3 linked regions of the Sus scrofa genome follow. Each later gene encodes a partner of the first gene's protein in a complex. Links are inferred from orthologs where the notes say so. Each region holds a gene or a part of one and is shown in the gene's direction. Other genes may lie near its edges. The genes, in order: NLRP5, OOEP and YWHAG.

The links.
Region 2: the proteins of NLRP5 (region 1) and OOEP are in contact, whole or in part, in a cryo-EM structure (PDB 8H93), measured with the Mus musculus proteins. The link is inferred for Sus scrofa from reciprocal best matches to the Homo sapiens genes NLRP5 and OOEP. Residues at the interface, in NP_035990.1 of Mus musculus: Glu173, Leu176, Leu195, His196, Gly202, Leu206, Asn322, Leu325, Glu326, Tyr337, Ile338, Leu339, Val340, Glu341, Gly342, Leu343, Ser344, Ala345, Ser346, His373, Asn625, Gln626, Asp652, Ser655, Glu661, Leu662, Cys663, Pro664; in NP_080756.1 of Mus musculus: Ser26, Leu27, Arg28, Leu29, Arg30, Thr31, Arg32, Ile38, Val41, Asn43, Tyr48, Met49, Leu75, Leu86, Glu88, Pro95, Thr99, Lys102.
Region 3: the proteins of NLRP5 (region 1) and YWHAG are in contact, whole or in part, in a cryo-EM structure (PDB 8XI3), measured with the Mus musculus proteins. The link is inferred for Sus scrofa from reciprocal best matches to the Homo sapiens genes NLRP5 and YWHAG. Residues at the interface, in NP_035990.1 of Mus musculus: Ser1030, Cys1031, Ser1055, Gln1058, Cys1059, Pro1060, Val1061, Glu1084, Phe1087, Val1088, Lys1089; in NP_061359.2 of Mus musculus: Phe201, Tyr216, Thr220, Met223, Gln224, Arg227, Asp228, Thr231, Ser235.

What each region holds. Positions count from the first base shown.
Region 1 is NC_010448.4:60,374,253-60,378,009, forward strand, and holds the start of NLRP5 (NACHT, LRR and PYD domains-containing protein 5), read left to right. Parts: upstream 1-1,417; 5' UTR 1,418-1,583; intron 1,584-3,757. UniProt on the Homo sapiens protein: Component of the subcortical maternal complex (SCMC), a multiprotein complex that plays a key role in early embryonic development.
Region 2 is NC_010443.5:53,006,265-53,008,739, reverse strand, and holds OOEP (oocyte-expressed protein homolog), read left to right. Parts: upstream 1-862; coding exon 863-1,049; intron 1,050-1,220; coding exon 1,221-1,400; intron 1,401-1,762; coding exon 1,763-1,842; downstream 1,843-2,475. UniProt on the Homo sapiens protein: Component of the subcortical maternal complex (SCMC), a multiprotein complex that plays a key role in early embryonic development.
Region 3 is NC_010445.4:10,018,701-10,021,354, forward strand, and holds part of YWHAG (14-3-3 protein gamma), read left to right. Parts: intron 1-1,198; coding exon 1,199-1,855; 3' UTR 1,856-1,863; intron 1,864-2,654. UniProt on the Homo sapiens protein: Adapter protein implicated in the regulation of a large spectrum of both general and specialized signaling pathways. Binds to a large number of partners, usually by recognition of a phosphoserine or phosphothreonine motif.

The sequences.
Region 1 (3,757 bases):
TTAAAAAAATCTACACAGTATTGACAGTTACCTCAAGAAAGCTGGGGCAAATAAATGCTTTGGGAAATAATCACTAATGTAGAGATTTGAGGCCCAAAGTGGCTGCTGTTACTATTCACCAAGATGAGCCCTTTTTTATTTTTTAGACAGTTTTCAAGGGTGACTTTCCATTTAAAGTTAGGACAACATACTGGCTCTATTCCCCGTGTTGTACAAACCCTCCTTGAGCCCATCTCACACCCAATGGTTTATGGCTCCCACTCCCCAACACCTGTTTACCCTCCCCCCTCACTGGTAACCAGTAGCGTGTTCTCCAAATCCGTGTCTGCTTCTTTTCTGTTGTAGTCTCCCGTTTGTTGTATCTTTCAGATTTCACATGCGACTATCAGACAGTATTTATGTCTTTCTCTGCCTGACTTATTTCACCTAGCCCTCCCAGACCATCCATGTGGCTGCACATGGCAACTTTTCATTCTTTTGTTGTTGTTGTTGACAAGGGCTGCAGGTGTGGCATATGGAGGTTCCCAGGCTAGGGGTCAGATCCGAGCTGCAGCTGCCAACCTACACCACAGCCACAGCCACTCTGGATCCGTGCCTCATCTACCACCTACACCGCAGCTCACTACTGAGTGGGGCCAGGGATGGAACACACATCCTTATGGATACCAGTTGAGTTTGTTTCCACTGAGCCATGACAGGAACTTCAAAATTCCATTCTTTTTTAATGGCTGAGTGGTAGTTCACCGTTCATATATACCACATTTTCCTTATGCATCTATTGATGGACATTCAAGCTGCTTCCCTATCTTGGCTATTCTGGGTAACGCTGTATGAACACTGGGGTGCATGGATCTTTTGAAATTAGTGTTTTTGCTTTGTTTTGTTTTCAGGTACATACCCAGGAGTGGAACTGCCGGGTCATATGGCCATTCTACTCTTAGCTTTTTGAGCAGTCTCCATGCTGTTTTCCACCATGGCTGCACCCACTTACATTCCCACCAGAAGGGCGTATGGGTTCCCTTTGCTCCACATCCTTGCCAACAGTTGTTACGTGAGCTCATTTTGATGATAGCCATTTTGACAGGTATAAGGTGAGCGCTCAAGGTGGTTTGGATTTGCGTTTCCTGATCATTAGCAGTGTTAAGATGGTACTTTAGAAGGCAGGGGATTTATTTGATCACAAACAGGAATACATACTATGAGCTCACAGGAGTCCGGATAAGTTTCATGGAGAAAATCAACTGAACAAACCAGAGCAGCATCATTCAAGAATGGTAAATGCCAGGTCAGGTAAAATCAGGAGAGACACACACATCCTTGCTCTGGGGCAACCAGGTGAGGGCTGTTTCTGTCCAGAGGGCCTGGGCACAGGTTAGGAAGGGTGATGCAGCATCTTCACCTGACAGGTGGGAAGGGGGTGGAGCATACAGGTAGAGAAAGCAGCTGCCCCACATCTACCCTGGCTGTTTGGAGCCGTGGCAGCCAATGGACGGCAACAACGTCACCAGCCCAGGATTCCCCAAAGACCCATCGCCCCGTCGTTGCCAGTTGGGATCTAGTCTTGGGGGTGAGGAGGCGAGCTGGTGAGTGTTTTCTTCTGTCCTGTTCCCACATCTTTCTCTCCCCATTTTTCCTCCATTCCTGGTGGGAACCCATTCAGTGAGCCCTACGCTCTGCCCTCCTCCTCTCCGTATAAACTAGCAGGAGTCCAGGGACCAAAGGTGTCCTTAGCAAGAAGGAAGTGCCCCATCTCCCCATTTTCATGAAAAGGTCCACCTCTAACACACATGGTGTCTCGGGTATTTCCTCCATACATCTCGCAACCCTTTCCAGGCTCTAGGTCTGAAGTAAAGGGTAGGGTTGGGGTGCTCTGAGCTCACAGAGCAGGGTGGAGATCAGCAGAAGTCTGCTCCACGTCTTAAAGGAGTCCGGGCAAATTACTCTGTAAATTCTGCAGATAAGGTGATAACAGCAGCTCAGGGTCATTGAAGTGCTGCACAGTCCTGAGGGGGTTCTTGGTCAAGTGAGGAAACTGAGTTACAAAGGAGTTAAGTGGCTTTTCCTGGAGCACCAAGAAGCACATCAATATTCAAAACTGGGTCTGATTTCATGCCCTGGAGTCTTACCTGTTTCCATGGGATTTTTCAAGACACCTGTGTAGAAAGGTGTTGCAGGAATTAGTACCTATAGGATAGAGACAAACGGAGCTCTGATGAGTCATTTGTTCCCAGAAATTAGCTCTGACCATCGTCTTGACTTAGCCCTCCAACCTACCCTCTTGCCTCTCCTGGAAGGCCTTGGCCTTCTCACCAACCCCACCTCGATTTTATGGGAGAAGGGGGTCCATCAGCCTGTCCCCCCTTATTCCTTCCACCTGGACTCTCCGCCCCTCGACTCACCTGTCTTGGGGGTTTAACATGTGGGTTTCCCTCCAGAATATATTAGAGGAGATGGAGAATTAGAGTCGGATGGGTTTGGCCATGCTCCTTCCTAAAGCAGAGCAAGCTCTCCTCCTCAGAACGTCAGCTCTCCACTCTGGAAAGCGAGGACAGTAATACCCTCGGAGTTACAGTAATGCAGGAATCTTTATAGATTGATACTGTTGATACAAAGTTTACACGAGATGCTCTACATCTCCTGAAAAGGGATTTAAAAGAGAACACACTGTTTTCATTCTTAGCTTCTTCCACTTCCATGGCTCTTAGTTCCGAGCATAGAAACCTTCTCAATATCACCCTAAAAATACCCGTCTCTAAACCACAGTGATGTGGTAATTACCCCTGAGGGTTGGACGGTGTTCTGGCTCCTGTAATCTCTCTGGATGGCTTTGTGTGGTGAAGCAAATGTTTAATTCAAATGGTGGATCGATACTGTTTGGGTTTGACAACCTGAAATGCATTCTCTTTTAAACAAGCTTCCTGTATTCATTTAGTCACCTAACTCAAATAATGGGGAGGTTTGGGGGCTTGTTGGTTTGTTTGTTATCTTTTTAGGGCCACGCCTGCAGCATATGGAGGTTTCCAGGCTAGGGGTCAAATTGGAGCTGTAGCTGCCGGCCTATACCACAGCCACAGCAACGCCAGATCCTTAACCCACTGAGCAGGGCCAAGGATCAAACTTGGGTCCTCATGGATCCTAGTCAGATGCATGTCTGCTGAGCTACAACAGGAACTCCCTGTTTTATGTATTCAATCTCCCTGTATCAAGGTGGTTTTATGTTAGAGGGAAAAATAAACCTAGGAAATTTTTCATGTATTTTTAAAATTTAGTTTATTGAAGTATAGTTGACTTACAATGTTGTGTTAATTTCTGCTGTAAGCAAAGTAATTTGTGTGTGTGTGTGTGTGTGTATTCTTTTCCATTACAGTTTATCATAAGATAGAGAATATAGTTCCTGTGCTATTCAGTAGGACCTGGTTGTGTATCCTTTCTAAATGTAATAGTTGGCCTCTGTGAATCCCAAACTCCCCCTCCCTCCCTCACCCCTGCCCCCTTGGCAACAACAAGTCTGCTCTCTATATCATTTTCATTTAATTTAACCTAGGGAATGTTAGCTGCTCTGTGGTTAGGATGTAACCTTTTAGTGCATTTTAGAAATATTTTCCCAGTAGGGTCAATACTTTACGTAAATGTTGTATAGAAATGTTGAGGAAAGTGCTTTCGAGGCATCTGCTTTGAGTGACCCAGCCATAAACTTTGTCTCTCCATAAGTAATGTTCACCTCCTTTTTTTTTTTTTTTTTTTTCTGTTTTTCATA
Region 2 (2,475 bases), on another chromosome or scaffold:
AAATGGAGAGCAGTACATGAGTGTTTTATACAGCTTTCTGAATGTGTGAAATCTTTCATAATTTAAATTTTTAACTAAAATTAAGAACCTTGGGAAGAAATGGGCACCAACACTAGTTGTCTCAGGATTTTGGAAATGAGATTTGTCTACACTTGCTAAGTTTTTTTAGAATGACCACCTCTGAAGTCTGTATTTTATTTTCAATCTTTTTTTTTTTTTTAAATAAAAGCAATGTAACCTTCTGCAGAGGCAGGAAACCCTGTCTTTATGTATGTAAGTATGTATGTATTTTTGGCAGTGCCCAAGGCATATGGAAGTTTCCAGGCCAGGAATCCAACCCTCTTAATCTGCACCACTGCAGTGACAACGACGGATCCTTAACCCACTGTGCCACAAGAGAATTTCTGAAGTCCATATTTTAAACACAACACATTTGTTTGAATGATTTCGAAGTGGTAACAAACCAGAGTCAGGAAACGAGAACAGAAGAGAGAAGTTGCAGATTCCAGGAATCTGCCCTGGACCTGGCACGCCTTAGGCATGGCCTTGGAAACCTTAACCAGGCAATGGAAGAAACTCCCGCTCAGTCAAACCACACTTCAATCAGCTGTGTTCCGAGGCTGGAACCTTAAGGCTAAGTGTTACCTTACAGGTGGAGAGGCTCGGAGAGACTCAAGGTGGAAAAGGAAGTCCAGGTGACCCACGCAGAGAAGGAAGTGCCGGGGCAGCACCGGGCACCAGCACCAAACAAGCGGGTGAGGCAGCAGGGGCCCAGGTGCACCAGCAGGGGCGGGGCCAGCAGGACACCCTAAAGGGCCGGGCTTCGCACCCCTGCAAGCTCCACGGTAGCGCTGGTCTAAGCATGCACAGCGCAGGTGCCACCGAAGCCCAGGGGGCAGAGTCGACGACATCTCCCCAGGAGAAAGGGCTGCTGGAGTTACCACTTCTGGCGCCACGGATTCACACCCGGCCTTGGTGGTTTCCTGTGCAGGAGCTGAGAAACCCATTGGTGTTTTCCCTGGAGGCGTGGCTGGCTGACTCCATCTTCGGTGAGCGACTGGGTGTGCTGGGAGCAGGCCCCTGGGCGGCTTTCTATAGCCCAGTTCCCTGGTCATCAGCCCAGTTCCCCAGCTTCCAGTCCTTCCTGCTCCCATTCCCTTACAGCTAGCTCTTCCTGCTCTTTGACCGGTGCCGCTGCTCAGCCTCTCTCTCTTCTTTAGGCCCAAACCAAGTCCTGGTTCCGAAGATTGAGTGGATGAGCCAGGCCCTGCTGATGGTAGACACAGTTAACGCCGAGAACTTGGTCGAAATCACAGTCTTTGGACGACCAACTGTACAACATCGGGTGAAGAACGTCCTCCTTAGCCTAGCGTCGAGGCACCGAGAGCATCGTGCCCGAGGTAAGGATCTTGGAAAACATGCCTGTGGAGGGAGCCACAAGAGAAAACACCTGGTCGTGCTTATCTTCCTTCCAGCCTCATATCTTCCCAAAGCGTTTTGCAGTTTCCTCATTCCAGCATGTTGCAGAGAGTCTCCCTGGGCATCTCTTTGTGAAGAATCCAAATAGGACATGGGGAAAGTAGGCTGAGATATGATGCATTCAGGCCCATCACTGCCCACGTCAGCCTCAGCTTGGTGGCACCACTACCTCCAGATCCTAGGTTCAGAGCTTCCACCCTGAGAAATGATGTCGCCAGAGCTCCCCTTCCGCTAACTCCTGTGAAATAGTAGTTTGCAACAGTGAGCATTTTTCCTTTTCCAGCTGAAAAGATGGAACAACTCGAGGAATTCTTGAAGGCCCTTGCATCAGGTCCCCAGAACCCCCAGCATCCTGTTGCATAAGCATTGTCAGGAGCATGAGAACAGTCCTGCTTCTGCTACTCAAGTTCAAGAGAAGCAAATATCCTTAAATCTCTGCATTTTTTTCCTGTGTCCTGATTGTTTATTATTTTGATGTAAATGTGAGTTTGTAATGCCACTGAGTAAATAAATGAATTTCCTTTTTTGTTCAATAGCATAAAGATCTTTTCTCACTAAAAATAAAAGCAAATTTATAAAAGATTGACTTCGCTCATTCATGTCTTGATGTGAGAGGTGGGTAAAAGGCTGATGGTGGGTTTAGTTTCTGCCGTTTTGAAACTACTAACCCTTTTATCATTATTTTATGGTCAGAGTCAGGCCTTCAAGCACAGAGTACAGAACTATATGGTCAGTCTGCTTTGAGTTTCTTTTGTATCATTTGTTCTCAAACTTTATTGTGTGTAAGGGTCATCTTGAAAACTTCCTAAAACACAATTTCTTGGTCCCCTTCTCCACTGATTCGATGCAGTAGATTGAGCCCATGGAATTTTCTTTTCTAAAAAGCTTTTAGGCAATGCCAAAAATTCTCCTGGGAAGCTTTCACTTTCTAGCTGGTGGTTTGACCCCAGAGTAGCAACGAGCGTACCTGTGCATTTTCTCGGATGGAACCTCTGA
Region 3 (2,654 bases), on another chromosome or scaffold:
ATTTTCCTCAAAGCTCTTAGTCATTGGGACTTCCCTTGCCGCACAGCGGATTGCATACCTGGCATTGTCATGGCAGTGGCTCAGGTCTCTGCTGTGGTGAGAGTTTGATTCCTGGCTTGGGAACTTCCACATGTTGCAAGCATGGCCAAGAAAAATAAATAAGTACAATGGAAAGAAGCATTCATATCTGTATGAATGGGTCACTTTGCTGTACAGCAGAAATTGACAGAACATTATAAATCAACTATAACAGAAAAAAATAAAAAGGGAAAAAAAAGAAGCATTCATTCCTATTGGTCTCCTCAACTCAGAAGTGCTTTTTTTGCTCACCTCTCCATCTTTTTGCTAATTGTATTCAAGTATTTATTCTCTGAGTTGCAAATATCTCAGTAATTATAGAGTCAATCCCATGCCCCCAATTTTTACTTTCTTTCTGAGGTTTGTAATTTATATTATCCTTTTTGCTTTTTCGGCCACCCAGTGGCACATGGAATTCTCAGGCCAGGGATCAAATCTGAGCTGCAGTTGTGACCTACGCTGCAGCTGCGGGAGGTGGGATCCTTTAACCCACTGTGCCAGGCCCGGGGATTGAGCCTGCATCTGCATCCTGGTGCTGCAGACACGGCACTGACCCCACTGCACCACAGCAGGAACTCTAGTTTATACTAACGTAAGAACAGAAAAGTTTCTTTGTTTCTCAAAAGTCAACTTTGAAGTTGACTCGATATATTCTCACCCAGCATGCAAGATACTCTCATCCAGAGGGCTGGGACTGAAATTTGGCAGGTCAAGCTTAGAAGCTGTTATTCCATTTTCTTTAAAAAACTGATGCTGTATGGAAGCCATCTCTAGTTAAAGTCCTGAGGATTGGTATCTATGTAATGTTGCATGAGAGCTGTTGACCTTTTGTAATGTAGATCGAGATTTGGTTTGTCATCTTACGGGAGAGCTACGTGACACGTGTGTGTGTCCTTTTCTAGGAAGGAAGCAGGAGTTGAGGCACCAGTGATCCAGCTGCAGTTTTTTTTCCTTGGTTGTTGCTCGTCCCACCTCCGTCCCCCTTCCATAGAGCTGCACGGCCTAACTTCTCTGACTGTTAATGACCTTAGCAGCTGATGTTTTAGCGGCATAAAGAAGTGATTAATCCAGCTGACATCATCTGTACCGTAACAACTCTGTCTTCTTTCCTCCTTAATAGGTGACAGAGCTGAATGAGCCACTGTCCAATGAAGAAAGAAACCTTCTCTCTGTGGCTTACAAGAATGTAGTCGGGGCGCGCCGTTCTTCCTGGAGGGTCATTAGTAGCATTGAGCAGAAGACCTCTGCAGATGGCAATGAGAAGAAGATAGAGATGGTCCGTGCTTACCGTGAAAAAATAGAGAAGGAGTTGGAGGCCGTATGTCAGGATGTGCTGAGCCTGCTGGATAACTACCTGATCAAGAATTGCAGCGAGACCCAGTATGAGAGCAAAGTGTTCTACCTGAAGATGAAAGGGGACTATTACCGCTACCTGGCCGAAGTAGCCACTGGAGAGAAGAGGGCGACCGTCGTGGAGTCGTCTGAGAAGGCCTATAGCGAAGCCCATGAGATCAGCAAGGAGCACATGCAGCCCACTCACCCCATTAGATTAGGCCTGGCCCTTAACTACTCCGTTTTCTACTATGAGATCCAGAACGCCCCGGAGCAAGCCTGCCACTTGGCCAAGACCGCTTTCGATGACGCCATCGCCGAGCTTGACACCCTCAACGAGGACTCCTACAAGGACTCCACGCTCATCATGCAGCTCCTCCGCGACAACCTCACGCTCTGGACAAGCGATCAGCAAGACGACGACGGTGGAGAAGGCAACAATTAAGGCCCCAGGTGGACTGGCAGCGCACGCTGATGCTACTACTGCAGTCTTTATTTTTTCCCATGAGTTGGGGGTCGGGTGGGGGAGGGAAAGGGAGGGATGACCTTCCTAGGGAGAAACCCACGACCTGTCCTGTCTTTGATCGCCTCTTTGACATTTTTGCCAAAATACCACTAGTGGAAAGTCAGGCTAGCTGTGCTGGTATTGGAATAGCAGCCTCACACTGGCTTATGGACTGTTCTGTAGATTAATGCAAGTGGAGCTGTCTTTAATTTAACTTATTGCTAGAACATAGGGTTTAAAGATGAATTGAAAACTTAAATGGAATGGCCCTCATTCAATAAGTTCTGTGGTTCCAGTAAGGATTTTTATGTACATATGCTCTTGTCTTAAGTTTTGGGTACTTTCTGTCTCATCTGTTTTAGCTGTGCATTTTTTTTTCAGGGTGTACTCTACCAGACATGGAATAGTTTAAATCCCAAGCTGATAGACTTAGAACATAAGGTATATTTATCCTTATGGGTTAGGCGTTGCCAGTTTTCAGAAGTTCCTGATTGGTTGACAGTATTAACACTAAATTGCAGTTTACAGTATTTCTACATTACAGCCATATGTAACATCAAGCCATTGATTGTGTATTTTTCTTTACTGTGGCTTGTACGTCCTTATTCAGCCTTATCCAGGTTGGTTTTGCTGTTCTCTCTCTCCTAGGCCGGAAGGCTTGCCTGAGGAGAATCAGAGCTACTTTAGGTTTTGGTTAACAGGTGCTTGGCAGGTGGCTGTGGGATTTTTTTTGGTCCCT